Schizosaccharomyces pombe: one gene and its partner. The protein of the gene in region 1 interacts with the protein of each later gene in a biochemical or structural test. Each region holds a gene or a part of one and is shown on either strand. Other genes may lie near its edges.

Region 1 (14,822 bases):
GATGTAATCATAAATGCTCATTCGTTCACCTATAGCGCACTCCATTGTTGCTCTTTTTGAATTTTGCAAGACTCATGTTGCGGTTTATTATAAGATAAGTAGGTCTTCACTTAGTTCTTCGTAAGTAGGTACTCATTATGTATCATAAAGAAAAAGACTTTAGTGTTAATCTGGTAAAATTTTACATGTTTGATATGTAGACATGCTTTCATGCAAGACGGGGTGAATATTGATCGCAAAAAGGAGACTTTTTGGACCTCATCGCAACTTGCAATTAAACTTGTACTTTAGCGAGACCGCCGTTCTACTTAGCTTAGCTTGTCCCAAACGGGTGTGTCTATGAGAACGCCCATCAACTGGAGTAAACGTACTGAATTAATTAGTGTGTTACTAGTCGGCATCTGTCAAAACCGCAAGCTTCAAATATGCTTATAACAGCTTTCTAATTTTAAGATCAAAGTTAACGATCCTCTTTATCCTTAAAAAAAAAAAAAGAATACAAAAGTCAATCTACATATTAACTGTGCTTTCCACTTATCTTCTACTTCTTTTACTTAACATTGGATAAGCATTGAAGCGTATTTAAGCTTATTTTACAGCTAGAAAAAAGTTCATCGTTCGAAATCATAATATTTTATTATGCTGTTCATTATTTTGTAAACATTAAATTTGTTTGAATTGAACCATTAAACAAAAGTAAAAAAAATAATTAAGCTTGATTCATTAAGAATTAAGATGAAGGAGAAATGAATGCAATAAACGAAAATGAAGTTGTGAATACAACAAGGAGGAACAGCGAGTTTTCCAATTTCATTAGTTGACGATAACAGTCAATTAGTGAACTGCTATTTTAAAACGAATAAATAAAACCATTATTTTAATATTCAATTCCCAGCGTATGTTATTCACGGAGCCTTTCAAGCAATGCACTTGCTCATCCAATTCGTCAGGAAATGAAATATGCAATAAAAATACATGTGATATAGTCTAAACATATCATGATTTGTTTGGTAAATCACATTTATATAGATGCTTCTTTCCATTGCACATTCTTGTAGAATTTATAGTAAAGTTAGCAATATAATTAGGCTTCATTTTCAGGGTTCATCTCATGCAATGGAATAGCTGTGTATTCATTCACGTGTTGTCTGGCATCACGTTCTAAAAATAATTAGTGAACAAATTTAAAGTACACTTCTTTTTATCATCAAATTTACCATAAAGTGCTAGTGTTCTTTTCACCAAATCTGTAGAGCAAGATCCCGGTTCCACTATATCGTTAGTATTAATTATGTTTAGTAAACAACAAACCTGTTTCAGCAATGAATATGAGAATGCTTGATACAGCCATGAAAGTGAAAGCGGATGCCGAGCATTTCCATCCCCATTGTTGATCACCTAAATGTGAACTCAATTTGTTTTCAGCTTTTAATAAAACCAAGCAAAATAAAGAACTTTTACAAAAAGCAAAAATCATGTTTCTCCACTTTTTCAAAAAGTGCTTGACTGCCTTGGTCCAAGTTTCATAGAAGTCTAATGAGTTAGTGAATGAACGTAAAATTAGTCCTATTGTCTCACTTACAAGTCAAGATTATTAAAACCAAAGTGCAAACAAGACACCAAAATCCAAATAATGTCCATTCCGCTGCGCCATAAGTCTCAAAAAAAGCGTCCTTATACTTTAGATAACAAATTGCGAGTACATTCAGTACATAGATTGGTGTGAATGATATTAGTAGTTTAATCAAAAAAGGGGAAGAATCATCTGTCGTCCCGGAAGAATGGTTTTCTCTATGTGCGTTAGGAGGATTGCTTACACGTGCGTGATCTGTTTAAATTAATATAATGAAAGACTTTAGTAAAGAAAGAACATGTTTTAAAATGTGTGCATTGCATGGCCGACTGTAAACAATGACCAAAGCATGCAATTTGACAAGATGGCAAGTTTCAACTTTCAATTGAGTAATTCCTTTCTTATTATTTACAATTCTTACCTAAATATGGAGGCAATGTACTTTCCTCCTCTGAATCATATTCTGGGAGTGGTCCTTTTTCCAAATCGATTTCATAATCTGTCTTCAGTTCATCTTCTTCATCTATAGGACTTTTCAAGGAAGTGTAATTATTCTTCGTTTCAAAGCAAACTGTTTTTTCAATAATAGCAAGTGAAAAGTAAAATTCCAAAACTCATTTTCAAAATGTAATTGCTTCTGACACATTTATTTTGTCACTGCCCTTCTTATTCACCCCAACTTAGATTTCCTTATGCATCATTAAGAAACTCAACATAAAACCAGTATATACGTTTACTGCGTTATTACATACTCACTATTGCAATATGTCTTTAGGTTATTACGATAACAAATCATCGTTCTGAGTCACAATATTTTATTATGCTATTCATTATTTCGTAAACATTGAAATTTGTTTGTATTAAAGTAAACCATTAAACAAATGGAAAAAATGATAATTAAGCTTGATTCATTAAGAATCAAGATGAAGGAGAAATGAATGCAATAAACGAAAATGAAATTGTGAATTTAACAAGGCGGAACAACGAGTTTTCCGATTTCATTAGTTGATTTTAAGTTGTCGTAAACAAGTTAAACCATTATTGTTTGTGTCTTGGGTTCCATTAAAAAAGACACATAATTAGACTCGCATCATAATAAATAAGAGATTCGAATCTCAATGCATATTATCCAGATTATCCAACATCGCGAACCATTTTAAGCGATGCATTGGTTTGACAATTTTTGGTAATTGAAAGAATAAGTTAAGCATACATTCCATAAACTTATAAAGAAAGAGGATAATTAAAGAATGTTAGTGCTTATTTTTTAAAAAGCCGCAGCTTCTCTGCGTTGGTGATTGTCGTAAAGAGGTTTTCCAACTGGAGCGACAACTACAATAATAAAGCAATTAGACTTCGCTTTCGGCCTCCGTTTCTTCCAAGGGAATGTTATTATTATTATCGTTGGCACCTCTAAACGCATTTCCTATCCGCCCAATTGCATTTCCTATCCCTCCAAATGCATTTCCTATACCTTCTAATCGGGTAAGTAAAGAATCATTCATACAGTTGGTTGAATACACATACCTAGGAAAGAAGCTATACCATTCCTGATAAATTTGGGCATCCTTTTGAGAGCACCTGGACATTCTGATACGGTTAGAATAAATTACAGAAATATTAAACAAACCCATTTCGTAAAAGAAAAGAAAATTTCCTATAACAAAGAGTGAAGAGGCTTCAATTTCGTAGCCTGTCGCGTCGATATGTTTATCAAATAAATACATCAAACCTTTCGTTACAATAACGACACAACTTTGTACACCCAGCACTTGAAACAAACCAAAAAGCATATGCTTGAGTGTCCAAATTGGAATACAAACTGTATGTTAGCGTTTAGCAAGATAATTTCACTTACCAAGCAATAAAATGAAAAATAAAGCAGCCGAAATACTGCATGTGGAACAGATGAGTGCCTTATTTAAGTTTAGTCTACCATCCTTGACGCAACCAAAGAGTATAAAACAAATGACTACCCATGCGAGCCAGATTGTAACCACCAAATCTTTTTTTGAGTTATACAAACCGACCGCAATTACCTTTACACATTTTGCCAAGAAAACTGCAGTCACCTTTACACATTGTGCCAAGAAAATTACAGTCACCTTTACACATTGTGCCAAGAAAATTACAGTCACCTTTATACATTGTGCCACTGCCTGGGTCCAAGTTTCAAAGAAGCCTAATGAGTTAGTGAATGGACGTATTAACAACTTCATGCATAGCTTACAGAAAGTAGCAATAAACAATATTGGACATGTTATACCAATTGTGACGGAGAAAGCTACCTTGCCGAATATCGACTTCTCCAACGGGTTTACACAAACCCATGCAGTAAAAAAGACAACACTAACTGCAAGAACTGATATTAGTAGTCTCAGAAGGAAATATATATTTGGATGTGAATCTTTGAATTCTTGTCTTCTTTCGACATTGGGATTCGCAATTTCTGTAGGTCCTGTACTTGAATCCTCAGGTACAGGATTAGCAAGTTTCGAAATGTCTGCATTTATAGTTAGCCTAAAGCGTAATATTTAAAGAATGAGTAAAATGTATATCTCAATTATGAATGATTTATCTTGAGTTGATAACATGAGTAAATACAATGTGCGCATGTTTGAAAATGATCAAGTGTTGGATATGCCAACTGTAAACAATGATCACATCCAAATTATTTTACAGCAATAGAAAGTTACAACTTTCAATTGAATAATTCCTTTCTTATTATTTACAATTCTTACCTGAATATAGAGGCAGTGTGCCCTCTTCCTCTGAATTATATTCTGGAAGTAGCCCTTTTTCCAAATCGATTTCATGATCTGTCTTCAGTTCATCTTCTTCATCTAGAGGACTTTTCAAGGAAGTGTAATTATTCTTCATTTCATCAAGATCATTCTTTATTTAATAAAACACATGCGCGAATTAATTGCTGTGATTGCGACAAACGAAACAGCGAAATCAAGAATATTCGCTCTGTAGTCCAATTCCAATCGCTTTAAAGACTTTTTAACAAAATAATAAAATTGTTCAAACAAATTTCCAACTAATTCCTTCAAACAATGGCATAAAAAAAGAAGAACGAAAAAACTGAACGAGGCAGTGAATTGCTTCTGACACATTTATTTTGTCACTGCCCTTTTTATTCACCCCAACTTAGCTTTCCTTAAACGTTTTTGAGAAGCAAACGTTGTAGTATAATATAATGTCAGCTACGCAGTTTGGTATCTGGTTTAACGAAACATAGCACTGCGGTGAAATTTCCTTGTGACCTATGATATTACGATACACAGGTAGTAGGTATTGTACTATTAAGTTGTATTGTTACCTATCACAAATACAGCTTACAATTGTGTGAGGAGTGAGGTTCAGTTGGGATTCTAATTATATTGTTCAAATAATATAGATCTTAATGCTATTTCCATCAAAATTTATCTCAATATCGTATCATCGGTAATACAATATACCAAAAGAACATGTGACATATAGTGATACGTAACGAATCCTATTATAACGTAGAATAGCGTCAAACTTTAGGGAAGCGTAACATGTTGCAGTATTGTAAGTAACGTGTAAAGCATTATTGGTTTTGCTAAATGTATCACAGTATTTTGCGGTATTTGTGTTGGTCGTGCTTACACGCATAACGCAGCGTTTACCCTTTACTTAGCACCATATCATTGTGTGTGGTTTATTACTAGGAGTCTCAAAAAATGGTAAGAAGGTCTCATGCTATCGTGTTGATTTTAACAAAGGGTAGGTCGTCCTGGCAGTAAGTATTGTGAATCGTGGGGGAAAAGGTATGAAAAGTAGTTTAGCTATTAACAAGGACTTGAGGCTTACAGTAAATTTGTTTAGCCATCATCTCGAGACAATTTCGTGAGATGTCTCGTGTAAGAGTAGAAAGCCTTTTGTCTTCCTTCCCCGCTCTCGTTTCGGAAAAGTCTCAAAATACCACGGTGGAGTCTGACAACGTCAGGTTCGTATACCAACCGTTGGACGAACTGTATATCGTGTTGATCACCAATTTACAATCTAATATTTTGCAAGACATTGATACATTACATCTCCTCTCTCAAGTGGTAACATCGATTTGTTCGTCGCTTGAAGAACGAGAGATTCTGGAATATGCATTTGAAATCTTTACTGCGTTTGACGAAGCTACCAGCCTTGGCTACAGAGACAATGTATCTTTGACACAGATCAAAACTTATTTGGAAATGGAGAGTCACGAAGAGAAAATTCAAGAAATTGTATCAAGAGTACGTGTTGAAGCATAGGGGTGGAGTCATCGAAATTTTTTTTGTATGGTTTTACTAATGCACTTTCTAGAACAAAGAAATTGAAGCAACTGAAGAAAGGAAGCGCCGCATCAAACAACTTGAATTACAAAAGAAAGAAGCTGCAAGACGGGCGGCTCAGAATCTTCCCAGTGCAGATGCGTATGAATCCATTGGGTATCAAACAGTTAATACAACCTTTGCTACGTCTAATGTTGAAGACGAATCTGCCATGGAGTCTTATCACGCTGCAGCAAAGGCTTCTTCTGCTCCCAAAGCGAAAGGAATGCAACTTGGAAAGAAGAAGAATACTAGCTTGTTATATTAATTTACTATTCCAGCGCCCTTTATGATCATTGCATCCGTTTTGGTTCGTTTCCCCTTTGTAATGTGCTTTTCCTACGATCATATGCGATAACTAGAAATAATAATCATTTTTCTATCCCAAATTAAACATCGTAATCAAGAGTCGACCATTACCAACTGTAATAGAACACTTTGTTCCTTTCATACCCTCCAGAATACTTCCTAGTCTATCCAATCGAAAAAAGCAGAGCAAACCTATATTGATTCATCACTCAACTAATATACCCGCTACCCTTTAGGAATGCTTCCTCTTGTTTCTAGGTAAACAATATTAGAACAGAGAAATCGTCATATAATATAACCCATTTATTCAAGTATATAATCTGGTTAAGACTTTTAACCCATCGTTCTATAAACCTCGTCAACAACAACAAAAAACCAAATTAGAAATCTATTTAAAAAGTAAAGCAGATTGGCAAACAAAGAAAAAGCATTCTATTTTTGAAAATAAAGTGTCCGATGAGAAAAGCGTGAAATTCTAATGAGAGTAAACCAGCAAAGCGAGGTACGATGAACTGGTAATGAAAAATAAAAAAAGGTAATAATTAATTGCTTTAGCATTCAATAATTAACAACAAAGTCAAAATTCCTCCAACAGAATTCTCAATAATAGAAAGACATGCGGCAACGGCGGAAGGATAAAAGGGCGTAACGAATAAATGGAGAAACCTAAAAGAAATTAAAAAAAAAAAATAAAAATATAATGAATATATGACCATGACCCTGGGATGCTATTAAAATTTATAAAATTGACCACGCTGAAGGATTTTAAATGTGACTGAAAGAGAACTTTTGGAAGACAACGACTCTAACTGCTCCAATATAACATCGGCAGGATTCGCCGACTGAAGAGGATGTGATTTCAAATGAGTGAGCAAACACGTAAGGGTAGGCATGATAACGCCATAACTCTGGACCAGAGATTGGAGTATACAAAGCTCGTTCACTAGATGTCTAGGGCAAAAATGACCAAACAAAAGAGTATCAGGGATGTCAGGAGTGGAGCATTCGATAAGAATATGAGAAAGCTTTCTTTGAGCAATTAAACTAGAGCAAGCTCTCCAAATATGAATGTTAAGCGGTTCTGAGGCTACCATATCGGGTTCGACGTCCCCGAAAGCCAAAAAGTATCTGTCGGATAGGTTATTCCTAAATAAAAATGCAGACGACTTTAGCTCTTGACCGAAAGAGGAGCCATGATTAACGGGAAAGGGCAATATAGACAAAGTAGTCGTTAAACTAGTATACATGGAAGGCTCAACCCTAAAAAGAGGTTAGTCTCATTGTCAAATGAGAAAGAGAAATGCCGATGGGGTTGATTTAGCAAATTCGCATAAGAGTTAAATTCATTAACTTGTTTGAACAAGAACAAAAGATATTAGAACAGTGAAAGAAAAAGAGATATAATTATTATTGCAATCTTTGCAATCTTTCAAATAATATCACTGTCTCACAAAAAAAATTGCACAAGTACCATGAAACCATGCAAATCAACCAAAGCGTCAGCAGATAGTTTACATATATGCAAAATATATAAATGTGTGTTCAGCAAATAGATTTGAAGGAAAAAAAGACGAGCATACATCTCTTCAACTAAGATGAAGAAAATAAAAAATTTTCAAAACTCAACATTGCCTTCCCAACCCTCAACCTATTCACTAAAACAATGAAAAAATTTTCATTTGACAGAAGCTATTGAGAAAGAATTTACTTACACCTGAAAATTAATAAATCCGGCTTTGTCGAGGGAAGGCCATAATAAGTTATTAAACACGTGCTTTTTTAGGGTATCGATCACATAGTTTAACCCAACTATGGTTCTAGGATTTTGAGGACCAAACATGGCGCTATTGATGACGGCTCCATAGATGTGGTCTAAATGACAGTGTGTGATGAGAAACGTTTTAATCCTTTGCTCTGAAAGGTGCCAGGCTTTTGCGTATGATTCATTTTCCACCGTATAATTGTCATACTTGGTGATGGAAGACCAAGAATCGACGGACAGGTGTTTTGACTGGATCAACTCAACCAACGCCGATAGGTGGCTTCCACCATCCAGCGATATAATTTCTTGAAATGCGCCATCAGAAATCAAATGACTGCTACAGCAAGACTCCAATGGACCCCCCTAATAAGTCAGCATGGCTCTCAATGCATAATGTTTGAATTCTTACATTTTGTCCCTGTTTTCGTTAACGTTAGTCGAAATTCTTCAAAAAAAAAAATATTTTTCGTTTTTCATACCAATGAATATAATGTAAAAGAATTTTCTACGAGTCCTACTACTTGATCGGTTTGAAATTCAGCTTCTTTGATTTCGAGTGCTGCATGCATGGCTAGGCTTATGGAGAGTTACAGATCTCCGGTGCATGCACTAGTCTACAAAAACATGTCGGTTGACGTCATATTTATTACAAGCATACATTTACTACCGTAGATTTAGGGTACGATAAACGATGCTCGAAATGTGGAGAAACTCGGGGTATAGTGTAGTGTGTTAATTATCCTTATTCATGTGCCCGCTTGGTGAAGAAGTATGCTATGAATAAATAAAAGGATGGAAGTCGTTAAGTGGAGAGGAACGAAGTTATGCTTTGCTGCTTTAAGTAAGATATTAAGAAAAAAAATGCGACTTTGATGAAACACGTTTGACATGTATCACTTCCTTATGAGAGCAATTTTTCCGAAGGTTCAATATACACCCTTAAAGAATGTCACGTAACGAGAAGAGAGAGAGCTATTTTTTATATAATTCCAGAGGTTTCCTTTTTTTATCGTTTAACATTTCTGAGGGGAAGTTTTGTTGCTTGTTTAACAATGTCGGCAGAAGTTTATGCCCTTCTCTTTAAGAGACCGACTAGCAAACAATTGTAAACTATCGGACACTAATATGTTTTTTAAAATAATAATTCATTATACATACAAAAAACTGAACCTCGTGTAATATAGATTTCCGTATGAACTTGGTTCTTTATCGGACTTTGAGGATTCGTAAGTCCCAGTCATTTTATCTGATTATGCTAAACTAACTCTTACTTTTTCATAGAGTACTTAGATAGTTCCAGTCAGTGCTGCTGAGAACCAGTTTGCATCAGTTAGGGAGGGTGGTAATCGTTGTAAGAGCTTTCAAAATATGATCTCCTTTTCCTTTATGCAAGATAATCAAAAGAAACATTCCTAAATTACCTATTTGAAGAATCTTTTGTATGTGCCGCTGAAATTGCTTTCCATTGAACTTTTTGTTGGTCTATGGAGAGAAATCATCATAGGTGCATAGCAGCCTTTAGGTAGATATTTTAATTAGCAATATATCCCAATTTTCCCTTTGATAATGATCGGTCTTTTTTCAATTAAGTCTATACCTAAAGGCATATTGGAAACTTGCTATAAAAGTTTGAAATAGAAACAATTCTCAGAATATTACTTGAATACGTTCTCTGTTTTACTCCCTTTTTTTTTTACTCACAAAGAATGTCACACTGCAGTATCGAATTGCTTTATTTGTTCCTTTGGAATAAAAAGGTAGATTTCCTTTTATTACAGCAAAAGATAACAAGACTAATAATTAAGCGGCTTTGTTTTTACCAGGAATTGCATTTTATGACACTACGCAAAATTAGAAATGTAAAAAAGCGCTTTCGAAAATTTCCTTTTACACTTTCATTATCAGGATTGACAACCCTATGAATTCCTCCGTTAAAACTTCTCACCAGCGGAATTCGATGAAGGTTGATGTTAACAGTATAGACTCAATAGCAACATTATACGAAAAATCATAATAAATTGTGAATAACCTTTTATTAATTGAGCGAATAAACATAGAGTAAATTTAATTAAGATTAATAATTATAACTAATTTTGAAGAAATTATTATAAAGAAAATAAATACATTGAACATCAACACATCCCCTTCAATTCATATACAAAGTGCATTTCTCGATTTTAGGACTAACTTGAAACACAACGCACAAACATTTCCACAACTTGATCTTTGGTTTTGGCGTGAAGGTTGTTAGTGCTAAGCTATACATTACTCCTTATACTTCATCGGTAGCAGGCATGGAGTGCATTTGATAAGCTTGATTGTTGGATGATGATGGACTGAAAACATTACCAGCCGCATCATACGAGGTACCATCAAAATTTATTGGAGGTGACCTATTTTTCGATTTGTCGGGTCTATTTGTATCGCCCTGCGTTGTTGTACCCGCTGAAGACTCACTAGCTGCATCCCAACTAATAGTTGGCTGCGATGTAGAATACGACGGAGGAGGAGCCAAGCTTCCAACCGCAGGAGCGAGTCTCCATTTCTTGATGTTTGCTTCAATAAATACATATCCTGCTTGTCCAAGATTGACATGTAAGGTACAAGGTCCAATTGCACCAACCGTAGGATACAAATTTCGATATGTACACGGCAGTTCTGCACACCGACGACCGTTACGTGTAAAGAAGATCCGATTGCACTTCGGTTTGTAACCAACACCAATTACATCTCCCTGCTGGTAGAAAGAGGAGTACGGTTTTCCCGTAAATGGTGAATTACTGCGGCGTGTTCCATCCGACACATAAGCAGTAGACCAAAAATTCCAACCAGGCAATCGAAACGGCGGATATGGCTTGGTAGCCAGACCGATGGAAACCAAGGTATCAATAGGTACGTCTAAAAGTTTTACTTCAAAATAGTATACTTCATTGATCCTCTGCAAAGGCAAATTGGTTTGCATGCAACATTCTTCGTTGCCCAAAAAAGACAATTCAGTTTTATTTTTAACATAGCAATTATATTCCTGATTTGGGATAAAGTGCCATGCTAATACGCCCTTCTCTTGAACTTGTAGGAAGTCAAGCAGCTTTGCATCCGTGTTGACGTTAGATTTCATGGAATTCAACTCAAACTCACGAGCTTGTAAATACCGTTCTTTCCCCATATCATCCAATAAACTAAATCCTTCTTCATCAATATGTTCATTCTCTAACGCTTCGTCGTCCAACTCACCAGGATTGGTGTTTTTCAGCAAGATCCGTCCATGTCGTGTGTATCGCAGTAATAAGATGACTGACAAAAGACAGATTAAAAGAACAATGACAGCGGCTAATGCAATAAATATGAAAAGGATTGCTAAATTAGGATGGGTGTTTGAAGATTCCTGTAATCTCAACTGGCGAATCTGATCGGGATGCATGACTCAAAGACGCAAAAAATAATTTTTTATATAAGATTTGAAAAAGGAAAATCTGCGAGTGTATATTTAATAGAGAAATAAATAACTGAGAGTAAAATCCTAGCTATAAGAGGATATAGTATAGGGTTAAGAGAAAAAGGATTTTTCTCTCAGATATGCAGTTTATTAAGCACGAGATACAATATTTAAATCTAACGTAGATGCAAGTATCTCAAATATTGCACTAATATGGTTTTTGCGAATGCTCAAGGATTGGGCGAAATGGTATACTTGTTTCAAGTTTACAGGAGAAAATACAAACTCCTTTAAATAAATAAGATATAATTCTTAAGATAAAAAAGAATTTATTCCTGAAGGAGCCACAATGGCCTGTTGTAAGGTAAAATCGAAAATCAGCGGCAATTTACCAGATAATACTGCTCCGTCACAATTATGCTTATAAGTTTTCTGTTTTTACAACCATAGATTGGAATTAACCAAATTTTTATTCGAAAATTTACTTTGATTCGTTCAATGTTTGCTTCCGGATTTCAGATGGTAATGGGAAAAGGAAGGTTACGAAGCACCACGTAAAGGCCACATGGATACTACTCCGTCCATTAACCAACAACACCTACCATGTCAGGGTCTCGAAAACAAGAAGCAATAGACGAATTAAGGAACTCTCTTGATGTTCCTGCTGATACTGCTCAATCTGTTTTGGAATCATTTAATTGGGACGTTCAGGTATGTGACACGGCAAGCATTCATTTTCAGTATTCGATAGTGATCAATTGCTTTGATTGAAAAATTCCAAGAAAGTTGTTATTTGCAACTGAACATTCATGGAATCCTCTGGTTGTCGTTTATTTTTCTAATCGAATTTTCGGTGAATGTTGGGACTGAGCCATTTTGCTAACTGTTTTATGATTAGGAAGCGATCGAGAGTTTAACTGGAGAATCGTCAAGAGTCGATAGAAATTCAAAGCTTGGATTAAGTTTCGGCGTCTTTCAATCTGTTTTTTCTTTGCTATTCAGTGGGTTGCACAAACTATGGATGATTTTGTCAAGGGTTCCTCTGATTTCAACATTTATCCCCATTTTTGGTACTACTAAGCGTGTCCTTTCTCCTGCAGACACTGCGAACAAGCTGGTTCAGAATTTAGAAGAGCAATACGGTACTGAGCATATTGATTTTTTTACTGATGGCGGCTACATGGAAGCGTTGACACGTATTAAGCGTAATTATGGAGTCGCATTGCTTTTCTTTACTAGCTCAAAGAATGATGACTCTGAGACGTTTTCCAGGAGTGTTCTTATGAACCAAGAGCTAAAGGAATTTTTAAATCGTCGAAACATTCTTTGCTGGACTGGTGATGTTTGTGAGGATGAGGCTTTCCGAGGTTCTCGTCAATTCCACTGCACTAAATTTCCCTCCGCAGTCCTTGTTATGTATTCACCTCAGCTATCTGAGCTTGTAGTTGCCGCCCAACTCCATGGATGTCTTGATAGTTCCAGCATCATTACCAATCTAACTAATGCTTTGGCTAAACATCTTCCTTCTCTTGAGCGTTTCCGTTCGGAGAGAGAAGCACGAGAAGCTGCTCGCGAGTTACGACGTCAACAAGACAATGCCTATCAAGCGTCCCTTGCCCGCGATCGCGAGCGTCAAGCTTTCGCGAGAGCAGAAGAAGAGCGTCTTGCAAAGGAGAAAGAAGAAAGAGAAATCGTTCAGAAAAAGAAAAAACAATATCGTGCTTGGCTTGCTTCTAATCTTCCACCGGAGCCATCATCTGAAGATGAACCTGCTCGTCTTTCGATCCGTTTTCCCGACGGATCTCGGGCTGTTCGAAGGTTTAAGAAGGATGATACTGTTGAATCCGTTTACAACTATGTGGATTATATGCTTTTTGAAAAAGAGGAGCCTGAAGAATTCGGTCGCGCTACTTCATCTTCTAATCCGGTCACTCCACCAAGTGACTATAAGCATGATTTTCATTTTCAACTATATTCTTCTTTGCCCAGAGCTTTGCTGAAACCATCAGTGGCTATTTCTACTAACAAAGCCATCTTTCCAAATGGCACTGTGGTGGTGGAGCTGGATGATTGAAATTAACAAAATTGTTTGTCTTTTTAAATCATAATGACAATTTACGACTATCGACGTTTCGAATCCGTTTTTAAATACATTTCTAAGATTTGATGTATGATGAATTTATTTTCTCTTTTCTATTTCTACTACTGAATTAATTGTTGTTTATGGCATGAATGTCTACTGGACGCATTGACTTTTTATTTTGAGCAAACTTTCAATGCACCCTTTAATCTGAGTACATAGTCGATTTCCACTAGATTTTCTGTTCTTTGCCAAAAACCTTTTCTATGCATGTCATCTTCATCTCTGTTTTCTACGATTTTCTTTGCAATGGAGGACAAAGGCTAGTAATTTAGGCTTTGTAGCATAAAAGTTTTGCCAGCTTTCGTCTGTGATGAGTGAGGTATGTATTATGAACATAAATTTGTTTAAAATATAAATCTTTCTTTATTGCAATTCGAAAAAGTCTAGTGGCTTTGTTTCTAAACAGCTTAAATTTTACCTTTAAACTTTCATTAATGTTAAATTTTTATATAATTAATATACAAATTAGTGCATTAGATTCACTTTATGTCAAGCATTATGACCCCAAGCATGGAATTTCTCAACGTTTCTAACAAAATTGGAAAAGTAAAGCGGTGAAATTATTTCCTTTCAGACTGAGCAAGTTTATTTTACATTCCTTTCTGTAGCGTGTTTTATATTCCATTTACTGCTATGTCTTAAGTCATTCAAATTGAACCATATAAGGATACGTTCGATCACGTTACAATCATCGTAAAAAGGAGAATCGTCAAGTTGAACCTGTACTTTATTCTTTTCTGGGCAATAGCTGATAATTTACCTGGTTATTCTAGATACAAAGAATGTCCAGTCTTCAAAAACGCCCTGGCCCAGGTAACTCTAGTCAACCGACGTAAGTCTAGCAGGAACGAGCAGCATCATGAGTTTTGCTAACTTTCTTAAATAGTGAAAGACCAAGAAAAGAATCTATCCTTGATCTTTCTAGATATCAAGATCAACGAATTCAAGCCACGTTTACGGGGGGCCGACAAATTACCGGTATTCTAAAAGGATTCGATCAGTTGATGAACCTTGTACTTGACGATGTAGAGGAACAGCTTCGCAATCCTGAGGATGGTAAACTTACTGGAGCTATTAGAAAGTTAGGTCTTGTAGTCGTTCGTGGAACAACTTTAGTTTTGATTGCTCCCATGGATGGTTCTGAGGAGATACCGAATCCATTCGTCCAAGCTGAATAAAAAGCCACAAGCCCTTCATTTGATGTTTGACTATTGTTAATAAAATACTACAAGTTAATTATTATACCGCATGTGCATGTTTTG
Region 2 (17,782 bases), on another chromosome or scaffold:
GGGAGTCAACATTGTATTCGACCCATGCCAAAACACCACTGACTTTATGAAATGCCATAAAATAATTAAAGAACATGGGATTGATACTATTTTTGTATTATGTGGCATGGGTGGAAGAGTTGATCATGCCATTGGTAATTTAAACCATCTATTCTGGGCCGCCTCGATTTCTGAAAAGAATGAAGTATTTCTATTAACTGAATTGAATGTATCAACTTTGCTTCAACCCGGAATAAATCATGTTGATTGTCACGACAACATTGGTTTACATTGCGGTCTTCTGCCAGTAGGACAGAGTGTGTATGTTAAAAAAACCAGCGGCCTTGAGTGGAATATTGAGGATCGCATTTGTCAATTTGGAGGACTCGTCAGCTCTTGCAATGTAGTGACAAAAGCAACGGTGACTATAGAGGTCAACAATTTTATAGTATGGACAATGGAAACACGTCTATAAGACCTGTAAGTAAGAAACTCAGAAAGAATATTCATTATTCCCAACAGCTCAAAAAAATTAAGATATTTATTTAGATATAAAAAATATAAAACATCTATAGAGTATAAGCGGTAATGGTCATAAAGCAAAAAGATAATTGATTAGAGTAATGAAATAAAATAGAATTTTAGTAAAGCCAACTAACATTTTGAACTGCAAGATACATCTCAGAAAGTGAAGAAATAGAAAAAAATCATAATTTTTCATATTGTTGAGCTTGACATGTCATTTTTATCCTCCTCGATACACCCGACAGTTCAGAATCCAAGCTGGACAATTAAAGGTATTTGAATGTATAACCCTAAAACCCATCACAAATACCATAGCTACTACGCTAATGTTGATATACAAAAATTATACATAGTTAAGAGATCGTATACATATTTATACTCATTAACTACTCTGAGGATGACTGCTAAAGTGACTGTCTTTTAGAACACCTACCCTGAAGAAAACGAATGTATCCAGAATAAATCATATGTAGGAGGACATCGGGAAAAGAGGGGGGTAGGAACAAGAACCGAATCAAATAATATAGTTAGAAATAAAAAAAAGTCTACACTTCATCAACGTTATCATCCCAATCATTATCACGCATGCTTCTGGGAGCGTAGTCTTGCAATCCTGCTACGTAGTTTGCACCACAGTAGGCGATACCTGCAAGAAGAACTAAAAAGCCTAGGAAAGAAGTAAACCCGGAGTAAGAAAAGAGTAAAGTACCCATGAAAGCGTAGAAGAAGCCCCTTCCTAAGAATGAGAACATGAACGATCCATATTTAATAGCAATAGGAGGAATTTCCTTTTCTAAACCAATAGTTCCCAAACCGAAAACGATGATGAACAATGCAAGTAAAGCGTTTACGAAGCTAAATGAAAATAACTTGATAAATCCGCTTAAAACGAAGATACCACCTACGCCCAAATTAATGGCACTAAACATTTTTGTTTTATCCATTGTGAATTAAGTGTATGCAACCAATATTAAATTTTTCAAGCAATATGTATTTTAGTCGATGTTTGCTTAAAGACAAAGAGAAATGCAAGTTACTAAGCCTGCCTATGCTTACCGATGCGGTCATGCATATTTACGAACTATTGAAATACGGTAAATAAAAATAACGAATTCCATAATTCTCAACCAACTTTTTGTTGTTTACAGAAAATGAATAATTCAATTCATCGAAAATGCATTTTGTTTTCTATAGCATTCTTTGTACTGTTTTTGAAGTTAAAAACACTATCATTTAGTAAATAATGTACTTTCGACCCGGCTTTTTTTTGAGACAACTGTTGTTGACAATTTTAAGGTCTGTGGGTCAATTTATATATTTGTCAAACGTTCGTAAACAAATGTATTTGTATCTTAGTTTCATACGAGCTCCTTTAGCTATATGTGATCTACTCTCACTCGGGATCTACAGGGCTGTAAAATTTTTTGCACTCAAGTTTCACGCGATTATTATCAGATGCACCTGAATAAAAAAGAATAAAGTAAAATAAAAAGCCGAATGTTTTATAACGTAGTAAAATTCCTTCTTATTTTGATCGCTTTGCCATTCATTTGATTATGTTTATAATGATAATTTCACGTGCAATGTCAACTTTGATAGACGGCTACATCTATTTCTAATTCGTAACGCTATAAAAAAAAACTCCATTTTAAACTGAGAATAAAGCAAGAAGTCGATTAGCCGAATATAGATATCAGCATGATTCGTTTTAAACGGCCCAAAGCCTTGTATATATTTGAGTAATTTTCTACTGTACTTAATTGTCTGTAATTAAACAACTATTTGTTACTCCTACCTTGTTACACTTGGATTTAATACTCTGGAATTAGTGTACTAACTCCTAAATAAATATTTAAGTAGTATTTTTCTTTAAGATATTTCTTTAATAAACATTCTCTTCTAATGAAAAGAAAAGCGTCATTATTGGTATTTTAGTTTTCAGAGCAAAGAGGTACTTAACATTTATTATGTCGCAATTATTTTATATATATATTATATTAATATTTTGTAATGAGAAACCTAGGCCTAATAGTGTAGTGGTTAACATACCTCTTTCGGGTAATCCCCACTTGTATGCTGAGTTTAGAGGTGATCCCTGGTTCGAATCCTGGTTAGGCCCCTTTTTATACTGGGCTTGCTGTATAAATTTATCTGATTAATTTTGAAACTACGCAAACCAACTTTCAATAATTAAAAAGTTTTCCTTACACCTTGCTTGATTACCTTTTAATAGATGTGAAATAAGAACTACTAAATTTGTGATAAATACCGAAAACAATCAGAAGAGTCGAAAAGAAGCATTCAAAAAATTGTGTAAATAACGAGTAGGTTTCTAATAATACGATAATTTCACAGGATGCCTATAATGGATCTGGCAGCTAATGAGCAAATCATTTTTACTTTTTTTTTTATTTAAAACATACGAAAAGATTCTCTTTTTTTGCTGCAAACAAAATTTACTGTAATTGAACCTAGAATTGGTAGCAAAGGCATTACACCGTATTACTGTAAACTTCACTAATGTTTGTGTTTTTAGGCGCATGATGAACATGATTACTCAAGAAAGTAACCAGCGACTATGTCAAATTTGCTTCTGATCATTGACTCGGTTTCACAAAAAATAAGAGACAGGAGGAAGTTGGAAGAGTTTGGACAGAATCCCGATGAAGAAATTGAGTCTTCATTGAAAGATGTTCGGCAAGAATTGCAAAAACTTAATGAGGAGCAATCGCGATTAGAGAAAAATGCACAAATCCCAGAGTACAGAGTACGAGAATCCGAAGCATTTCTTATTAGAATGCAAAGGAGGTTAGAGTCTGCTGAGGAAGAGTTTGAGAAGCAGCGGCGTGCATCCTCAATTCCTGCTGACGGAACAAGTGCCTTTTCTGCAAACCCGCAAGTTGCAAGTACGAATAATAAGTTAACTCCCCTTCCTTCTTTACAAAAAACGACTTCGAGTAGTGAGGGATCTGATATTGAGATGGAGGCCATGTATCCGGTTGATGGCAATGACCCTGATCCCATAAACGTAAACGTTTTGGCTCAAATGCATCAGCAAATGCTCAACGAACAAGAAGAATCTTTAGGAGGGATCGAAGCAAGTGTCCAAAGGCAAAAGCGGATGGGATATGCAATGAATACAGAATTGTCCGAACAAAATGTTTTACTAGATAATATGAATAATGATGCTGATCGAATTGAGAGGAGGTTTGATCATGCAAAAAATCGATTAAACAAGGTCAGCCGAAAGGCTAAACAGTATCCCAGATGCTTTATTATTTTGCTCCTTTGTGCGTTGTTATTACTTGTGGCTTCCATTTAGGGTGCAAATAAATATCACTTAGCAATTGTACTTGCTGTAACTCTGTTACACTTTCACTTAATTCTTTTATTTCACGTCCTCTTTGAACTAGGCTATATAGTTCTTTTATTTATATTTAATAACCGTGATATTTACGAACTTTTTTTTTACGATTTTGAAAATGTTTTTGTGATCTTCAACTTCTTTTGCTAAACGAACCTTCCCTTTATAGGGAATACAGAAATTAACTTTTTCGTACATTCCAGTTTCTAACCATTGACTGTCTTTCTACTTTAGTAATTATTTTTCTGCTAGCGCATTTCTTATCGAAATCATTTTTGTGTTCTTTTAAGGGCCGTCCCCCTTGTTCACAAAGCTAGTTTTGACGACTTAAATCAAGTGAATATAGTGCATGCAGAGTGAATGCTTAATAACCATTTGTTACAAACTTTGTTTCGCTAATAACTCCTTATTTGACATTTGAATAAATAACCTATTAGACTTTCAAAATTTTTAGATTCAGGGCAGTAAACAATAAACAACAATATCTTCAATTAGCTGTATCAATTTATTTTCAGAAGTTTTGCTATATTATTCCTTCATCTCATTAAAAAATATTCTCTTCTATTATTAAACATACGTAGTCATGTTATCATTATCATTATTAAGGAAAAGTTTGAACGAGTAGATTCTTTCTTGAGAATTAAGGGAACATGTGCTTGAATGCCATTTTTTTCATCTTAAATATAAAGCCTCCGTTGCTATTGTTAACCATATCACGCTGAACCTTTTTTGATAATAAAATATCAGAAGCAACCCTCTTAACTAATGTGTTGTGAACCTCTCAGCATTGCATATCTTAGCGTAATTAAATATTCGGTAAAAGAGGATCGTTTTCCTATCAACAATTGAACCCCAAATCAAAATATTCAAAACTTCAGATCAATCCTTAAATTAATTAAAAACCGAATCAAAGCTAGTTGATTTTTGTTTAAAAAAACTAAAAGATGCATTTCATTAAGAAACAAATAGTATAAAATATAAAGATATGAAAAAAATTAAAATGAGGGCGGTTGATTCCGATTATTATCTGTAAGCAAACCGGAAGTTTCGGATACAGGATAATTAAAGTCTGAAGACCAATTTGCCCCATTGTTATTGAATGAATTAAAATTAAAGAAAGGAATTGAATTGGAATTATCTAATTTCTCAGACTGAAAATTAGTCTCCATTTGATCCCCTTCGTTGTTCAATGAATTTGAATTCTCAACGCCTTCAAAATTGTAAGAGTCAAAATATCCCATCGAAGCGAAGGCCTGATCTTTATCGGTAATTTCTTCAGATAATGAAATGCCTTCTTCTTTGATGCCTTCTGATATTCTTCCTTCCATATCAACATAGCCTTTTGGAGGATAAGCTTCAGATGGATATTGCTCTGTTCCTAATGGCGAATTAACATGTGCATATGTGGGCAATCCAGAAGGGATCGAAGAAGGACTCAACGTTAATGGTTGCTGCATTAAAGATTCAGGGCTATAACAGCTCGGTGAAAAATTAGTGCCACTAGGCGATATGCAAGACTGACGCATATGTTCGAGATTATCAAGACGAGTATAATCCACAGAATTACTCTTAGGAGGATTCTGAAAAAAGTAACTATTTGATTTGTTGATCAAAGAATCTTTTGGTGAAGCATGAGGAGAAGGCATAGCCTGAAGATTAAGAAACGAAGCAGAAACATCAGATGGGCCACTAGGTTGATTGAAAGTAGGAAGATTTAAAGACTCACTAAAACTCATCCAATCCAATTTATCAATCTCGTACCCTTCAGGAATAGATTCAGGAAGTGTCATATTCATAGCGTAATTTCGTGAAACGGCGTTAGGTGAATACGGCATTCTAGCCAAACTTTCATCGTCTAATTGACCTGAAAGGCTTTCAGGTCTATTAAAGTCATAAAGCTGCGGGTGTTGATAAACAGAAGGCCTCAAATCGCTGGCAATGGTTGCCCTACGATAGTACAAAGGACTGTCGGGTCCATAAGGCACACCGAGACGTTGATCTGACCATTGAGAAGATGTAGGATTTACTGCACCAGATGCAGAGGCATTTACCGTTTCCCTCCCATTACCGGCAGAAACCAGCCTTTGTTGTTGGGCTTGCAACCAACTTGCAGAAAATGAACCTGAGTTGTTCGCAAGCTGCGCTTGTAGTGCGGCATGCAACTTTGGATAACGAAATTTGTCAATGGAATCTGCCTGAGGTAAAGAAATAACAGGTTTAGAAGCTAAATTTGTTGTGCTTACCGAAACATTTGAAAGAGAAGGATTGGGTAAAGCCGTTGTTGAACGACGTCTTCTTCGAGGTTGTGGATTCCTATGGATTTTCTGTTGGTGACGAAGTAGAAGATCACGCCTCGAAAACTGTCGACCACAACCTGTAGGTAAACCATCAATCTCACTACAAGTAAAAGGCTTTTCGTTGGTATGAGATCTGATATGTCGTTTAAGATGCTCCAATCGAGCAAAAGCGCGTGTACATGTTTCACAAACATATTGTTTAACTTTCTGGGGTGGGGCATTAGGGTCCTTTTTAGCAGCGGTAGAAGAAGCCACAGGTTTTGAATTAGAAGTAACAGAGCTGGGTGTATTAGCATTAGAGGTACCAGAATCGGAATTAATAGACATCAAGTTTTCCGAAACTTTTGATTCGGATAAAGTATTAGCTTTCGAGGCTATCGGTGCTAAAGACTCACGCGTCATGATAAAACAAGTTTTCAAATTAAACAATTATTTTCTTATTTTTCAAAAGAAGAATATGTTGTTAAAATAAAAGATATGAAGGGAAATAAAGCTTGAAAGTGATTGCAATCAGGATTCAAAAAGACTAAAAACGAAAACCGCAAAATAATTTTCGAAAATGAAATGCAAGATCCTAAATTAGTTATCAACAAGTCAGAAAAAAGAAATAGCTAAATAAATCAAAATTGACTTGTCAGAGAAATACAGGTAGGCAAAAATAAGCAAGATATAATCTGCCAAATAATTTTACCAAATAACGTTAATAGCAAAGCAACAGAATATGTTAAATATTTCTTAAGGACAACAGGGAGATGAGAAAAGTAGTTGAAGAAGGAAAATATGAGGAGAACTGTTGAGATGCCAAACTTTTTTTTTTTAAAGGGGATAAAAAAAGAGTGTAATCAAACAAAAAGCCACCGCGAAGAACAACAAGGAAAGAAGGTCGGTAAAATAGACAGAGAAAGAATAAAAACAATCGATTGAACCTGCACACAGTAATAGCACAGATAAACAAGAAAAGACACTTGAAAAACTTAATGTACTTCAGAAGAGTCTATTTCAAAAAAAGCCTGGAAAATAAATTTCAAAAAGATAAACGCCATCCACACTTTAAATAGAATTAGACACTAACTAGGAAATAAGAAACGTATTGTCGAAACAATGTACGTCAAGAGGAGAATCGGAAATGTAAGGAAAGGAGAAAGAATTAACAGTCAAATAATAACTGAAACAAGGCACGTGAAGGACAAAAAACGAATCCTATAACATATATACTAAATGTCTGATAGATTGGTTAAGGATGTCAATTTTATACATCCAAACTAAAAAATATAAAATAACAGACAAACGCTTTGCGGTTTTCCTATTTCACAAAGGAAAAACCAAAATTGAATGATAAATGAAGTGTATCCTATGCGAATTGTAAAGAACAAATCAGCTTTTAACACTTAAAAACGAATTTTAGTGCAATAATCTTCAATGATCTGAAACTCTGCAGTGAACTCGTATTTTACAATTCGAATAAATGAAGTTATTGCAACTTAGAAGTAAAAATCTTCTAGTGTAAAAGATTCTCTTTCCTTTCTAAGCTTACTAACTGGTCAAGTGGCGAAAAGCCGGATATCGACGATTAATCGTTTTTGAATGTTTTCACTGACTTCTAGTAAAAACCTTGATACTTTTAATTACTCAAACTTTCTGAATCCGTCAAAACTCTTTCTTAACAAATAATTTCAATCTCACTCATGTATATGGAGGATTGTCAGTTTAATGCATGTCGTTGTCGCGACTAAACAAATTTTATAATAACCTAATATTTCCAGGTAACACAGGTAACGATGCTTAAGGCACCATGTGGAAATTCTGAATCGACATTACATACTTTTGTGGGGGTAGGGTCAAACTACGGTTATCTGCCGAACAACATGTCCATGAGCTCGCAGATATCGTCCACTCGTTGTGGTCGATAGTGGAACATCCCAGTTTTAGCTCTTCCAGTAGATTTAACGGGGCGTTGCCTCCACGAAGAGACTTAACATCGCTAGCACACTACTAGCATAGTAGCAGTTCACCTTGAAAATAACTACACATACAAATATGCTACTATTTCGATAACGACATTTTAGGTTAACACTTGGATCTCCGGGTTGGCTTCTATCTATATGCCGATCGTTATGTGAATCGTGTGAAAATGCACATTTCTACACTTGCAAAAACTGACGAAAAGTTATAACTAAACACAACAGTCAACATAATAGTATGCTGTAGTAAACTAGACTTGGGCGTTCAAGAATTTCTTACTCATAAAAAAAAATTCGTTCTATTCAAAGACTAAATTTAAGAATCCCTACAAACTCATGTTAAGTAGCAGAGAAGTCATTATTATCAATCAATCAATCACCTTTTACAAAAATGACTTCAACAAAAAGGCAAGTCCATGTTCATACATAAATTTTGTTCATCATCGGATATAGAATTCATGCATTAAGGTGGTAGTTTCTATGCATACAAATCATCAGCACCATCATTTCCGAAGCTTGGTCCATTAGTATTACTATCAGCCGAATCAAACTGGAATCCTGTAAGACCACGCGAGGTAAGGAGTTGATGGGCATAAGCTTCATAACGACGGACTTCTGCATCACTGACAGAGCGGCGTGCCATTTTCATGGCCTCCTCCACATGATGACGCTGAACTTGAGACACAGATGCATCTTCGTCCATAACAACATCGTCAGCAGGAGCCTCTCCAGTCTCATTTTCGCGCTTGATGTCTTCTTCAATGCTGTCCTTGATGGCCAATTTAACAGCTCTTTGTACAACAAACTCCAAATCAGCACCTGAGAAGCCATGGGTCGCCTTAGCAACTGCACGCAAGTCAACATCTTCAGCAACAGGCGTATGTCTCAATTGAGTTTGCAAAATGCTGAAGCGAGCTTCTTCATCGGGTAAGGGAACGTAGATTAATTGATCCAAACGACCGGGACGCATCAAGGCAGGATCAATCTGATCGGGACGGTTGGTAGCACCAATAACAAATACATTCTTCTTGCTGTTAACACCATCCATCTCAGTAAGAAGTTGGTTGACAACACGATCACCACCACCAGAGTCACCAGCAGAAGCGCCACGTGCTTTGGCAATAGAATCCAACTCATCTAAGAAAACGACACAAGGAGCTGCAGCACGAGCCTTGTCAAATATATCACGAACGTTTGATTCAGACTCACCAAACCACATGCTAAGCAATTCGGGTCCCTTTACTGAAATAAAGTTGGCAGAACATTCGTTGGCAATGGCTTTCGCCAACAATGTCTTACCTGTACCAGGGGGTCCGAAAAACAAAACACCTTTGCTGGGAGTGACACCAAAACGCAAAAACTTTTCGGCATACATAACAGGCATCTGGACAGTTTCACGTAATTCACGCTTAACTTCTTCCAATCCACCAATGTCTTCCCAACGAACATTGGGAACTTCCACAACGGTTTCACGCAAAGCAGAAGGATTGCTGGAACCAAGGGCAAATCTGAAGTTATCCATTGTAACACCTAGAGAGTCTAAAACCTCGGCATCAATCTCATCTTCATCCAAGTCAATCATATCCATCTTTTCACGAATCTGTTGCATGGCAGCTTCAGAACACAAAGATGCCAAATCAGATCCAACGTAACCATGAGTCTCAGCAGCAATTTGCTCAAGATCAACGTCATCAGCAAGCTTCATGTTCTTTGTGTGAATACGAAGGATCTCTAAGCGGCCGGTGGGATCAGGAATACCAACATCGACTTCACGATCAAAACGACCAAAACGTCTCAATGCCGGATCGATAGAGTTAGGACGATTGGTAGCGGCCATTACTACAACATTACTACGAGCTTTCATACCATCCATTAAAGTCAATAATTGTGAAACAACACGTCGTTCAACTTCACCATTCGTTTTTTCACGCTTGGGAGCAATAGAATCTATCTCATCAATAAAAATAATAGCAGGGGAATTTTTTTCGGCTTCTTCAAACGCCTTCCGCAAATTAGACTCAGATTCGCCTGCCATTTTTGACATAATCTCAGGACCATTAATCAGGAAAAAGAAAGCGCCCGTTTCATTAGCAACTGCGCGAGCCATTAAAGTTTTACCGGTACCTGGAGGACCATACATAAGGATACCACGAGGTGGCTTGATACCTATACTTTTGAATAATTGGGGATGACGGAGGGGAAGCTCGACAAGCTCACGGATTTGAGCCATCTGGCGACGACAACCACCGATATCGTCATAGCCAACTTCTGCCAAGCTACTTTCTTCATCCTCACGATTAATGGGTTCACCTTCCCAATGAATAATTGTATCCTGGCTAACAATGCCAAATTCATCAGGAGCAACATCAACAACTTTAAATTCAACTTGACGCATACTACCCCGTACAACGAAAAGATCGCCCTTTCGAATAGGACGATACGCTTCAACAAAGTACGGCTTAAGGTAAACATCAAAGAGAGAACCAGTAAGACCCTCGACGGTATCAGCCAAGGGTAGTACTGAAATTCGTTCAGCATATTTAATATCTGGACAAGGATTGATCGTTACAATATCGCCTAACCTTACGCGCAAGTTGTTACGAACAACACGATTAATTCTTGCTACGCCATCTTCCATTTCTTCGTCAGTTAAAACAATCAAGACAGTGTCTTTCCGTCTCTTTCCTTTAACGACAACTGTGTCACCACGGAAAAGTTGTAAAGTCTCCATGGTATTGGACGACAATGTGATTACTGAGTTATCATCGTTGGTAGCGTCATCGACCACTAGAGAATTTGGTTTTCTTTTTTTACGAAGAATAGCTGTTGCTGTGTCTTCTGCACTATATGTACTGAGCTTGTTAGCATCGAATTCTAAAAAAAAGTTACTGCTACATCGAAAACATACTCTTTTGGAGGGTTTTCACCCTGAAGGTGTTCCACTTCTGGTTTCTTATCGGTCATGGTGGATGGTGCGTTCATTCGACCATGCACCATGCGCTTATATATGAGCATTCAATTTATAAAGATACATGAAATTATTGCTCAAAAAGGTAAATTATTTCTAAATATTCTTCTAATTGTTTTTTTTCTGTATAATAACATCTGTAAGCAGTTGAGTCTTTCTGCTACATAGCTGCCTCGCAAGGTCGTTACTACCAATTTCCATTATTTTCGCTAGATTGTTTTTATTTAACGCATCTCTAGAAAACACGTATTGTATAAATTGCCAAATTTAATTTATCTATTCTTCTTTTACCAAGGAAACGTCGTTGCTATTAGAATGTTCCAAGAACATCAATAGTAAACAATTTTCTAGTAAAATCTACGAGGAAATTTTAAACTACAGAAATGCAAAAATTCGAACGACCGCCCTATATCTAAATGTGCTTAAAACTTCATTACTAAGCATAAAATAAACATTTTGAGTGTTATCCGTTTTCAATTGAAATGAAACTTGGTTGGCGGTTTAGTAAGCTAAATATTTTAGTTTGAAACCCTTGCAATATTATTTATCATTATAACTATAAACATCAATTTTCTAGAAAGCGTTTTGTAAAAGTGTTTAGCAGTAAGTTAAGGCTAATCAAATATTCTTCTTTTATGGTTATTGATTGTATTGCACAATCAATAATAAAATTAGTTCAATCTTTAATAAGGAATTTAATGTGTTTTAAATATCCATACTTACTGTTCGTTATATGGCTTATGGTGTGGAATCCTTTATGATACACGCTGTCAGGCTCATTGTACAAACTGCTGAATCCCTACCTTAGTGGCCATAAAAATTAATCAATTGTAAAATGGAGGAGGGAATTTTATTAAAAAAATACGTTGAAAGTATGTTAAAAATAAAAAACTAGCTCTAACTGTTGCAGGTAGCGATAAAGACATACGTTACATGGCACTCAGCGATTTAGCTGCCCGACTTAATGATGCAAACCATTTGAAAAATCTCAAATTGGAGAGCTTTCCTGATACACTCGATGTTTTATTACAAGCACTGAGTGATGCTTCGCCAGAGGTTCAACAAGAGGCAGTTCGTTGTGTTGCTATAATTTCTAGCAAAATTCCACAAGATAAGTTAAAATCTACTGTTGAAAATTTGCTTTCTGGAGTTGCTGGGAAGAAATCGAAAAATTACTTGTCTGCTCTCAGTTTGCTTTTGTCCAACTCGAACGTCCAACCTTTCGTAAACAAATTTTATACTTCGACTGTATTCCCTTCATTTTTACAAATTTTAAAACAGTACAACGTTGCTCAAGAGGAATTTTTTGCAATTCTCTGTGTGGTCTGTGATTCTCTAGAAATATACCATTCTAATCTTTCGACTCTTCTACCTAACAATTTTGAATTGTGTATAGACGTATTCCAAAAATGTACGACACAATGCCAAAGAGAATTAATTATTAAAAAGGCTTGCTATCTCCTTTCTGACGTATCACTTTATGGGCCTCGCTTTGCATACAAATATATAATTGAGGTGCTTGATCGAGGTTTGGGACCCTCGACCCAAATGTCCGAGGTAAATATTTCTATTAAATTGCTTAACGAAATACTTCTGTCATCTAAAAAAGAAAAAGATTCATCTACATCATTCATCTCAACAGCAGTTGCTGACTACACCAATAAAATATTATCGTTATTAAAGAAGGAAGAAGCCCCAGATGAGTTAACGCAAAAATTGTTGGAGGTTTTAGGATTGTTATTAGAGTACCAACAAGTGAATATTTTGAAAATTTGGCCAGAATTACATGGTCTCTTAATCTCTAAAATTTCTTATGATCCCAATTTAATATCTGATACTAATGATGAAGATGATATCGCTGACTTTCTCGAAGAAATGAGTGACTATAGCAGCATTTACGAAGATGAAGAAGATGTATCTTGGATTGTTAGAAGAGAATCTTTGAAAGTCGTTTTGTCTGTAATTTTGTCACGTTTAGAGTATTTGCCTATAGTCCTTCAAGCACTAGGGACTTCTGTGGTTAGTAAGTTAAACGATAGAGAGGAATCTGTTTGCTTGATTTCTATCGAAGTATTAAAACAAGCATTCTTGCATGTTCCTCGTTGGATAGAGGTGTATGCAACTTCTAATGATAGAAAGCGTCGTTATGAAGGGTTACCATCGGACCGTTCAGCAATATCGGATACTTCTATTTATTTAGTGTCTGTAATTGGAAAGCATGTCTCTAAGTTATCTGATAAAACTCCACTTTCCATTGTATCTGAATTACTGAACCTAGTTACAGTGATTTTTTCTTCAAGAGATCTTGGTGTTCAGTCCGAATTTTCAAATCTGAGCTCAATTATATACCGTTTTCCTGATTTTTCAACCCTTGATATAAAAATTAAGCTGAATTTAGTTCGCTTAATATCAGCTATCATTTCTTGCGGCTGCGAAGAGATAGAAAACATGGAATCTAAAATGTCAACTATATTAAGTTTAGCGGTACAAAACAACTACCCACAACTTTCATACGAGGCCTTAATTACTGAGCTGTCATTTTGCAAATATATTCATAAAAAGCAACCCACTAACGTCTCAACAGATTTTTCCACAATGATTGATTCTTCACTTCAACTTTTGGAATCTAAAATTTCTGACTTGAAAGTTCGTTTAGCTTTGATAGATCTGGTCTCTCAATACGTAATTCTTTTCTATGAGCCTGATTTTGATTCTATATTCCTGAGACGTGTCTTAATTATTTTATGTAAAAAATTACAGGAAGAGCCCACTAGAAGTGCTGCTGCAAGAGCGTTATGTGATATTTTCATGTCCGTTACAGATATTACTAAGATAGAAAATGGAACAAAAATTTATGAAGAAATACTCCAGGATTGCTGTAGGCATATCGACAAAAGTGGCAATGAATTTACGACTGCTTATTTGGAACTATTAGAAGTGCTCTTGAAAGTTGGACAAAAATATCTCGCTGAAAGCTTGCTTGAACATATCTTAGGTTTACTGATCGAGACTCTTAAAAGAAACACTGAGAATACGGTTGCAATTTTAAAATGTTTGCTAATCATACCTTTGAGTATCCTTTTGAAATCAAAAAATTTACTAATAGACACTATAATTTCTCATCTGCAATCATCAACCATACATTTGAACGAAGAGTCCGTTTGTTTGCTAAGCAGAATTATTGCTGTTATTTCGAAAGAAGAAGATTTGGAGTTGATTATTAATTCTTTCACTTGTGCACAAAAACCTGTTGAAGAAATGGTTACATTGGCATTGATTGCTGCACAACTGATTTGTATTTTTCAATCAAAGGCCATTGTTACGTCTCTGAATAAAAGTTTTATGAGTCCTAAATCAGAAGTACGGATAAAAGTTTTCACAACTTTAATTTTTGGACAGCTTGATTACGGGAAGCTAACACTTCCTGCAAATGAGTACTTTGATACGATTGCAAGTAATTTAAACTCGCCGAATGCAGATGTTATGAAAGCAGCAGCTATTGCCTTAGGGTCGCTTACTAGTCAAAGTGAAAAATTCATAAAAGAATTATGTGCTTTATACGTCTCAGATGCTTATGATAAAGAACTTTTATTAATTTCCTTTTTAACTTTTCTTAAGAAATCAAAAATCGATTATGAAACAGCAGATAAAATATGGGATATCCTTTCTAAGGACATTGAAAACATTAAAGACTTTTCCACTTCTCCCTTCAGAACTCTTTTATCTGAATGTCTTGGTCTTTTAATTTGTAATGAATCTTCTAGCTTATATTATAAGCTAGAACTTTTATCCTCCAGTGAAGCTTCAAATCATATGCTTTTATCTCTTTCGGTGTTTCGTTTTTCGTTGACATTGGACTGTCCTAAACTGAAAGCTTATGAGAAACAATTTTTTGAAAAGGCGTATAAGCTATTTCAAAATCCAGACCTCGAAGTTAGTCAAGAAACGTTGCAGGTCATAATATCTGTGATAAAAAATAGGCGTTCTTGCATTGCAGACGTTTATAATGAACTTTTACAAGGCTTAATTTCCAAATCATCAGTTGATTCTAGTAACGTTCATGTTGTACAAATGGGCCCTTTCCAACATGTGGTTGATAATTCAATAAATCAACGGCAGCTAGTATTTGAAACACTTTATTCCTTACTGGATATCCCTGAATCTTTGAATCATTTAACCCATTTTTTACAGGTTTCTGTCATGGGGTTAGAAGATGAACATTATATTAAGCTAGTATCTTTGTCAATCTTGGAAAAACTTGTCGACTGCAGCCCTTCAATTATAGACGAGCAAGTAGACACTATTTTGGAAGCATTACGAAAAATTATAGAGCTTAGAAAAACTGAAAAGACTTTAAAGACAGATAGCGATAATATCCTTGATTTGGTTCGTTCTGCTTTGAGAGTTTTGTTTACAATGAAGTTGAAGTGCGACAATCCTGTAATTTCTGAATTCGAAAGTCAAGTTCAAAAGGGTCCTTACTCCTTGGAATATGAGGGAATAAAGAACGAAATCAAAACTACAATTAAAACTTGAATTTGAATATAATGTTGGAAATTCCCTTTGAATTTTTACTGGCATTTGATTACCTACAATATTTCAATGTTGAAACCTACAATGCGCTTCTCAACTGATATATTCATTAATTTCAGATGAATCCAGTTGACGCATTAAACAGTAAAAGCTAAGGTGTGCAAAATGAAACAGAAAAATAAATGCTGACCATATTTGTCATATTGTTAATTATGATAATGTTTAGAGGCATTTGGTTGACTTAATATATTAATTATTACTGGCTTGTTCTGGTCGTCAAGCATTTTAAAAATGACACTGCCATGTTAACGTTCAGTCTTAGTGTAACTTCTAATTATCAGTATATGAACAATTTTAGTACCTTTATCATATTATGGCTTCATAAACACCTGGCGGCTCGGTACCACAATCCCTGGTAAGAACCCGAATTCCGTTGCAATGCGAGTAAAACCCAGAAAAAATAGTCCCGAACAAACTTATGAGTACAAGAATTACGAATAATTCCAAGAGCAATTAACAACGCATCTCATTTGGCTCAATAATTAGCACAAACAGTTATGGAATTTTACATTATCGATAGCAAATAATCAAAACTACAATTTACTGTAAACCCACCAGTTATAATAACTAGCTTTTTTATAATTACTTATTATAAATAAAGATCTTTTCTCGTTTTAATTTACAAACTAATATATTACCAGCATTCTTTCCATTGCTTAAAAAAATATATGTACAAGTCAACGTAACACGACGTAGCAAGCTATGTCATAATACGCTATTCATAATAAGCCAATATATATATTATAACACGAACGAGGCTTCTTATCCTATGCAAAGGGAAATTGTTCATCTACTGCCGGGGTTCAAGCAGAGTAATATCAGAGGATAGGAGTTTTAAAGAATGGCAGATGCTAGAAAAAATAACGTCACGATAAAAGTCGGAATGATTGGAGATAGTTCAATTGGCAAAACATCTCTTATGGTAACTTATGTTCAGGGCTCATTTGATGAGGAAAGCACACAAACGCTTGGTAAATATTTACCTTTATTGGGAGATTTCTAACTTAACAAACTTAGGAGTGAATTTTATGGAGAAAACAATAAGCATTCGAAACACTGAAATTACCTTTTCAATTTGGGACCTTGGAGGTCAGCGAGAATTTGTAAACATGCTACCGATGGTTTGTAACGATGCCGTTGCAATTCTCTTTATGTTCGATCTTTCAAGGAAATCCACATTAAATTCTATCAAAGAATGGTATCGTCAAGCTCGCGGTTTCAATAAGGTATGAGTTCTTTCGTTCCGATATACGTTTATGCACGTCCGGGTTGTTTTGATTTTGTTTTTAGAACCGATAACCTCTGTTCGTGGCTAAACTTCATTAGATTACTTTTTATCGTACTCAGTATATCTCTAACTTAGTTACTAACGCTTTCAGACCGCTGTCCCTATATTGATTGGAACAAAATACGATCATTTCATGACATTTCCTCGTGAAGATCAAGAAGAGATTACCAAACAGGTACAAAAATTACTAGAAGTCGTATTATTAACTTGGTTAGGCACGTCGTTATGCAAAGGCCATGAAGGCAAGCTTGGTATTTTGTTCTACTTCACACTCTATTAATGTGCAAAAGGTATAATATCAGTTGATATACTATATTGACGATTTTTAGATATTCAAAATTGTTTTGGCTAAGGTGTTTGACTTAAAATGTACTATTCCTGAAATAAAAAACGTTGGAGATCCTATTTTGGAATACATCGATCGCTGATTTTTAATGCTTTACCATCTCTTTCTTTTTTTTTTTACTCTGATTTTACCCACACTCCTTTATCATGTTTATTTTCCCGAATTTTTGTGTCATTTAAGTATTGCTACCTTTTCCCTTGCTTTTGGTTTTAACGACATATTCATTTACTCAACTCTCTGTCAAAATATTTAATGAATTATAACCACGATCTCTGCAACTTTTGGTTTTTTGTTTGAACGAAATCTGTCTAATTAAAAGTGATCTTTACCAGTCTTTTGTTTTATCAAACTTTTAGTTGATATAGCTTTGCAGTTGAAAACAAGGTCTGAAATATCTTTGAATGTGGTATACTGTCCCTTTATGTACAAACATTATTTAAATTAATTTTTGATAGATTTTT

What was found.
Region 2: the proteins of dsc5 (region 1) and cdc48 form a complex in vitro, tested with the Schizosaccharomyces pombe proteins (one study listed by BioGRID).

What each region holds. Positions count from the first base shown.
Region 1 is NC_003421.2:1,804,082-1,818,903, forward strand, and holds dsc5 (UBA/UAS domain-containing protein), read left to right. Parts: upstream 1-12,003; 5' UTR 12,004-12,020; coding exon 12,021-12,128; exon of another isoform or gene 12,129-12,315; coding exon 12,316-13,491; 3' UTR 13,492-14,322; downstream 14,323-14,822. Other genes in the region: wtf antidote-like meiotic drive suppressor Wtf18, read right to left, coding at 2,923-3,050, 3,101-3,163, 3,204-3,395, 3,432-3,755, 3,804-4,076, 4,315-4,453; coatomer delta subunit Ret2, read left to right, coding at 5,284-5,286, 5,331-5,370, 5,429-5,832, 5,903-6,178; dual-specifity cAMP/cGMP phosphodiesterase Cgs2, read right to left, coding at 6,951-7,479, 7,932-8,344, 8,391-8,399, 8,461-8,550; SPRY domain membrane protein, specificity factor required for ubiquitination Ear1, read right to left, coding at 10,254-11,402; U6 snRNP-associated protein Lsm7, read left to right, coding at 14,343-14,392, 14,447-14,738. UniProt on the Schizosaccharomyces pombe protein: Involved in protein degradation through the ubiquitin/proteasome pathway.
Region 2 is NC_003424.3:1,299,765-1,317,546, reverse strand, and holds cdc48 (AAA family ATPase involved in ubiquitin-mediated protein degradation Cdc48), read right to left. Parts: upstream 11,103-17,782; 5' UTR 11,091-11,102; coding exon 11,035-11,090; intron 10,979-11,034; coding exon 8,605-10,978; 3' UTR 8,281-8,604; downstream 1-8,280. Other genes in the region: tnr3 (thiamine diphosphokinase Tnr3/ Nudix hydrolase fusion protein), read left to right, coding at 1-454; tvp15 (COPI-coated vesicle-associated protein), read right to left, coding at 1,050-1,448; fsv1 (SNARE Stx8), read left to right, coding at 3,083-3,826; DNA-binding transcription factor, glucose starvation sensing, Rst2, read right to left, coding at 4,864-6,567; knd1 (cullin-associated NEDD8-dissociated protein 1), read left to right, coding at 11,930-11,966, 12,005-15,630; GTPase Spg1, read left to right, coding at 16,529-16,658, 16,705-16,913, 17,067-17,150, 17,191-17,265, 17,305-17,403. UniProt on the Schizosaccharomyces pombe protein: ATP-dependent chaperone which probably uses the energy provided by ATP hydrolysis to generate mechanical force to unfold substrate proteins, disassemble protein complexes, and disaggregate protein aggregates.